2 separate regions of the Mus musculus genome follow, and region 1 is reported to be linked to region 2. The links are microRNA targets in miRTarBase. Many come from high-throughput screens and were not tested one by one. Region 2 holds a microRNA gene; the other region holds the end of a gene's coding sequence.

Region 1 (3,419 bases), not on the chromosome of region 2:
GTACTGTCAAGGGATACTTGGGCTAACCTTGGGCTCATAGACATGTCTGCTTGCCCTGGGTCCTTAATTACTCAGCTATTTACCACACACCCTAAGCAGGAAGCAGGGACCCTGTTCTTATTTCCCAGTAGTTTCCTAGCAAATTGGGCTCAGAGTGGGAAGAGGTACTTGTAAAATGCAAATATATATACATACATATATACATACATATATACATACATATATATATATACACATACATATATATATATGCTTATTATGTATGTATGGGGAGGGATATGCATGTAAGTGCAGGTGCTGAGAGATCCCCCACCCCAGCATCTGGAGTGACAGGCCATTGTGAGCCACCTGATGTGTGCTGGGAACAGAACTTACATCTTAACTGCTGAGCTATCTCTTCAGTGCTACCAAATTCTTGCTTTAAATAACATCAGCCCTCTCATGGGAACATTTGCTATGATGCTCAGCTTCTCATAAAAAGGAGTAAGTAACATCCTAAAGGTTCCCCAGGCCTGTTTCTTTGCTTTATCAATAAAGAGTCAGAGTCTTGTGAATTTTAGGTGCTTGTCAGACTATAGATTCGATGTGATAGTGGGAGCCAGAATGTAAGCTCCGGGTATGCAAATGAGTGTCCAGTCAGCTAATGCCCCATTCTCAGTGGGGGCTGAGCAGCACTGCTTCTGTGGGGCCTCATCATTCCTGGCCAGTCACACTGCAGCTCAGTGCTACAAAAGCGGAGGGTGTGCCCCTGTCTGTACATGGCATGAGTTTTTGAGATTTTGGTGTTTGGGGACAATTTGTTTTCCTAAGTTAAGGTGGAAGGGGCTTCCAAAAGTGTTTGAAAAGAAGCAGAGATGCTGATATAGATGGAGGTTGTATACCTTTTGGGACATACATTTATATATCGTCTACTTTCTACACACACACACACACACACACACACACACACACACACACACACACTGTACTGTGATTTCATTTGTCATACTTTAGAAGTAGCCGTGTTTATGTAAGCCAGAATGTAATGGGCATTCATATGGATGTCTGGATACTCAGTGCCTCACGCACAGGGGCAGGGCTTAGTAGTACCTCTTCTCCATGACTACCTGTCCCTGATTTTACTTCTCCTGAAACTGGATGCAAAATCAGCATCACAAAATGTATTTGTTTAGGCAAAATGAAACAACTTCCATTTGACTTCACAATATCACTGTGTCTTCTCACATAGTTCAGTAGTCGTTTATAAAAACAGCTACCGTTTCCCTCTACTATGGCTATACCTTATGGGCTCATCTAGAAACAAAAAGACAAAACCAGGGTTATGGCCAACGTGAGATATTTTCTGGATACACGAGCAACAATGAAAACATTTTGAAAATTAACAGGCAGCCGTAAGTATAAATACACTGTCGAAAGCATTTAACGCTTTTTAACATAGCCAAGTCCCCTGAGCTTGAAGCAGCATTAAATTCTCCTTTGCCAGTGGCAAAAAGAAGCCGACAAGCACAGAGCTGAAAGATTGGTACCGTTTCTCGGCCAGTAAGCAACAGAACCAAGGGGCTTAATATTTTATGGGTTTTTATTTATTTATTTTTGTTCTCATGCTGTTTCTCTCCCCGTCTCCTTTTCTCTCCTGTTCTTGCCTGCCAGGACTGATTGTGGTGACGTTGGCCGTGTGTTGGATGCCCAATCAGATCCGACGGATCATGGCTGCAGCAAAACCCAAACATGACTGGACCAGAACGTACTTCAGGGCATACATGATCCTCCTGCCCTTCTCTGATACCTTCTTCTACCTCAGCTCTGTGGTCAACCCTCTCCTCTACAACGTGTCCTCTCAGCAGTTCCGGAAGGTGTTCTGGCAGGTGCTCTGCTGCCGCCTGACTCTGCAGCATGCCAACCAAGAGAAACGCCAGCGTGCCCGCTTCATCTCCACCAAGGACAGCACCAGCTCAGCCCGCAGCCCCCTCATCTTCCTAGCCTCCCGGCGCAGTAACTCTTCCTCCAGGAGAACTAACAAGGTTTTCTTAAGCACTTTTCAGACTGAGGCCAAGCCTGGAGAGGCTAAGCCCCAGCCCTTGAGTCCTGAGTCACCACAGACTGGCTCAGAGACCAAACCAGCTGGGTCCACCCCAGAAAATAGTTTACAGGAGCAGGAAGTATGAATGGCAAGTTCAGAAGCCTTGAGCCGAAACTGGCTCTCCCCTCCCGCAAAAGCAAAGTTACCTTCACGCAGCAGCAGTCTCTGAATAGACTGTGACTCCTACTGGGACAGAATGGAAGCTCAAGGCTTTGGGAAAGGCAGATGCGTATCTCAATGACTTCTAAGGGCTGGTTCTTCCAGGCTAGCCTTGGCGGTGGTTAACCAGATTGGGATGGGAGGGTCTGGACTTTCTGCTCCATGCTTTTTTCTTCAACTACACACAGAAATTCAGAATGAATTGGTTCAGAGCTTACAAAAGTATTTGTGCACGGCAATCTTGCGTTACTTGAAAGGAGGGAACAAAAAGACTCCCTTGTCTACCCAGAATAAAAGGACACCCAGAAGAGACTCGGGAAGGTGAGAGACGAAGGGCCAGACAGGTGAGGCAGCAGGGGTTGGCATCTCCTTTAGCTTCAGCAGTGTGCCAAGCAGAGGGCTAAGTGGAAGAACAGGAGAGTGGTGAGAAGCCCTGGCCTGATGGCCGAGGCAGAGCTGCCTCTCTTCTTGGGCCTCGGCCCATTGCAAAGAGGGGTGTTGCAGCAGCTGATGCACACGGAGTTCAGTTTCCCAGGGGAACAGAAGGACTGGTACCCAGCTGAAGCAATGAGACAGGCTGCTGACGATGCACACGACTTCCGGTACATGATCCCTATAACACAGGCCCAGAGAAGTGGGGTTAGCATATGTGATCTGCAGTCCAGCTATCTCTTTGTGCCCAAATCTGAGTGCATAACCTTTCCTTAACTCCTCCCACAGAAAGGGCTCTTATCTCCTGATCTGGGAGATGGTTCAGGGGATAAGAATTCTCAGACTTATTGGAGTCTGGGAGTTCTTTTGGGTGGGCATGGAGGTCACCAAACACACAGAACTTATGGTGAATGTTGTTCCAACAGAGATTTTAGTTGCTGGTGTCCATGAATAAAGAGCTATTAAAATCAAAGTCTCCCCTCACCACTCTGTGTGTGCAATGCATGTGTATATGTTCATACATGCAATGTATGTATATATGTTCATGTATGCAATGTATGTGTATATGTGAGTGCAGTATCCTCAGATTCCAGAAGAGGGAATTGGATTCGTTTGGAATTGGAGTTACAGGCAGTTGTGAGCTGTCTTAAGGAGGTGTTGGGAGCTAAACTCAAGTCCTCTGCATCCTTGTAACCATCTCTCCTGCCCCTACACTCAGCTTTTTAATATGGGTTCTAAGGATCAAAGA
Region 2 (3,419 bases):
TAAATTATAATTTAAAAATATACTGAACTAAATCTGTAATTTAAAAACATGTAATGATTGTTGTATCTGAATGTTTATAAATCTTGATGTGTCTGCAAGGTTAACATTAAAGAATAAATGCCACATGAAACTCAAGAAGAATGACACATGAAACTCAAGAAGAATGAAGACTGAAGTGTGGACACTATGCCCCTCCTTAGAATTGGGAACAAAACACCCATGGAAGGAGTTACAGAGACAAAGTTTGGAGCTGAGATGAAAGGATGGACCATGTAGAGACTGCCATATCCAGGGATCCACCCCATAATCAGCATCCAAACGCTGACACCATTGCATACACTAGCAAGATTTTATTGAAAGGACCCAGATGTAGCTGTCTCTTGTGAGACTATGCCAGGGCCTAGCAAACACAGAAGTGGATGCTCACAGTCAGCTAATGGATGGATCACAGGGCTCCCAATGGAGGAGCTAGAGAAAGTACCCAAGGAGCTAAAGGGATCTGCAACCCTATAGGTGGAACAACATTATGAACTAACCAGTACCCCGGAGCTCTTGACTCTAGCTGCATATGTATCAAAAGATGGCCTAGTCAGCCATCACTGGAAAGAGAGGCCCATTGGACTTGCAAACTTTATATGCCCCAGTACAGGGGAACGCCAGGGCCAAAAAGGGGGAGTGGGTGGGTAGGGGAGTGGGGATGGGTGGGTATGGGGGACTTTTGGTATAGCATTGGAAATGTAAATGAGCTAAATACCTAATAAAAAATGGGAAAAAAAAGAATAAATGCACCTTACTAAACTTTGGTCCTTTAGATACAAATGCCAAATTAAGGCCAGCAAGCTCTAACAAGGGTTAATGCTTCTATACCACAATGATGTTCCAGGTGATGAACATAGTGAACCTTCCTCTACCTTATATGGTGTCTATCATCATTTATGTTTTACATGATGGACAACAAATTAGGTAAAGCAGGGTACATCATACCTTTAATATAAAAATGTTGCAAATGTAGCTTCCATGATCCTCTTTATCTTTTAGCAAAGTACCAATTGTACATTGTTGCTAAAACTTGACATACTTTGTGTATAATATATATACATATATGTACACACACACACACAATCTACAAATTGTCACCAAAAATTCCTCCAAGAGAATATCCTCTGATGTGTCTTCTGTTTCAATTAATGGTATTCTCTACCAAGACAATACGGGGGACTGTAATTTCACTTATATAAGTTAGAATTTCTCGTTGAAGTTATTTTTCTTCCTCCTGTAACATGCAAGTATTAAAATAATTATTAGATTTGTGTGTTCAGCAAGGAATAACTACAGAACCCATAAAAATAGAAAAAGGCCACTGGGTAGAGAGTTGTGAGAAAAGCTTACTAAAAGGGTAACAAAACACAGGTGGTATGGAAGAGGAAAGGAGACTAATGGGGGGGGGCATTGTTTAACTGTGGAGCAAGGTAAGATTCTAGGATAAGTGAGGGAGTAGGGAAGAAATGAGTATCACAACTCTGTTTTAAATATCCATATAAGAACAATATATGGTAGATACAGTGACCTGTAGTTTGCGTAGATGATTGCCAACACTGTATCTGTAAAATTAAATTCATTTTATTAATTCATATGAAGAATAAACTAAATGTTTTGCACTTTTATGCTTACATACTTGTATATATTCATAAGGTGAGTACACAAATGAAATCTTCATTAAATATTGCCTTACCCAATATGGGATATCATCTTTTATGTTTCCCAGGGTGCACAGAAAATTAGCTAAAGCAGCATACATTATATGTAAATGTTGAAATGTTGAAATCTAGCCTCTACAATCCCCTTTTTATCTTTAGCTTGCATCAAGTTACCAACTCACATGATAACTAAATGCTAGTCTAATTTGTTCATGCATCATCATGGATTCCATCAAGAACCTATCTTTTTAACATTCCTCCAGCTTCAGAAGAATGGTTTTCACTAGCATGAAAGTTAGCTGACTGCCATTTTCTCTGAACCGTAGTATTTCCCAAAAAGATCATTTTTTATCCTTCTGTAGTCTGTTCACTCATCCAAGCTATCTAAGGTGAAGTGTAATACATTGAAGCTGAAGACTGGAAAACACATCTAATATGCATGCATGTATCAACCTCACCATATCCATACATGAGACATTTACAGGTACCAAAACTGGTGATTGGTGTGCCTTACTCTACTCAGAGAGGATGGAGTAACATGCAATAGGAAGTGACTCATATCAATCTGAGTATTGCAGTGCACACAGTTTGTTCAGTGATGTCCTGTGTCTCAGCTTGATCCCACAATCTTCAGTATATTCCAGCAATTATATAAATATAGTTAGATACATCAACAATACCTTATTTATTCATAGGTTTAAAAGGACTATACTGCACTTTATCTTTCACAACTCTTCATATTCTATGATCTATAGTATTTAACTTTATACATGTATGCACTAATAAAAGTACCTTATGTTAGCACCTTTCTTTACATTATTTAACATGAGGTTCATAAGATTAAGAACAGACTGTCCAAAGAATGTTAAAGAGAATTTAAGCCATCAGATATCAAAAATTCCTCTATAAATAGGAACTTCAAGTTACCTTGGTTACATACAGAGGCCATTATATGAGTTACTTGCTGAACCTTCCTTTAAGAAAATCCATGGTCATAAGGACTTCATCTCATCAGTACCAATGTTAATATAAAAATGAGCATAATTGTATTTAAGTAGACACTGTCACAAAAGCTTCCTTCATCTCCTGCCCATTTTATTACATAGTCATCAAACCACAATGTTTGAACTCTTCTGTAATTTAGGCTTAAAATCATATTATCAAACACCTTTAGTATGTGTTTCTCATACCATAAATCCTTTTACTTGCCTTCTTCTAAGGGAAATGACTGTCAAAATAAAGAGTGGAGGTTTTATAAATGTATTCATGTACTGGGAACTGTGTTAATGTACTTTATTTTTTCTTGTCTGACTTAAAGAGATTCTTTCTGACACTAACACAACATTCCTTATGTAAAGGTAACAATATAAATACACCTAGAAACACAATATGCATGGTTCTATTTCTGTGCAGCCAAACTAACAGCAGCATTCATTTATCAGCACTGTGACCACCCAAGCCCACAACAAATGAGGAACACTGTGAGCCCTCCTCTACCCAGTGTGGTGTCATGCACTTAAGTTTCACGTGTCTTGACATCCAACTAGATAAAGCATTGCACACAACACTCTTTTCATTAACTTGCTGTATAAGAAGCCTCTATCATACACTTCAGCTTTTATCAGAGACTAAATTAAAAAAAAACATGATAACTATCCTTTGACATAATTTGTCCATCTACTTTTGAGAATAATTAATCACTCTCCTTCACCACGCTTTTAC

The links. Region 2 holds the annotated microRNA mmu-miR-880-5p (UACUCAGAUUGAUAUGAGUCA, at 2,249-2,269, opposite strand). A microRNA usually pairs through its seed, bases 2 to 8, with sites in the 3' UTR of a target mRNA and lowers its output. Matches are read on the target gene's strand: a 7mer-m8 pairs with bases 2 to 8, a 7mer-A1 pairs with bases 2 to 7 and ends in A, and an 8mer does both.
Region 1: the mRNA of Lypd1 is a reported target of mmu-miR-880-5p. Seed matches in the 3' UTR shown: 7mer-A1 at 1,050-1,056 and 7mer-A1 at 69-75.

The regions. Positions count from the first base shown.
Region 1 is chr1:125,870,720-125,874,138 of GRCm38, forward strand. Lypd1 (Ly6/Plaur domain containing 1) reads right to left here. Exons shown (of 3, transcript NM_145100.4): 3 at 1-2,852. The coding sequence ends at 2,617. It overlaps Gpr39 (G protein-coupled receptor 39), which reads left to right. Exons shown (of 2, transcript NM_027677.2): 2 at 1,651-3,143. The coding sequence ends at 2,165. Among named protein-coding and RNA genes, the nearest start is that of Gm41943, 30 kb to the left of the region's middle.
Region 2 is chrX:66,798,329-66,801,747 of GRCm38, forward strand. Mir880 (microRNA 880) reads right to left here and starts at 2,279; the gene lies at 2,202-2,279. Mir463 (microRNA 463) reads right to left here and starts at 969; the gene lies at 895-969. It overlaps Mir878 (microRNA 878), which reads right to left and starts at 3,257; the gene lies at 3,180-3,257.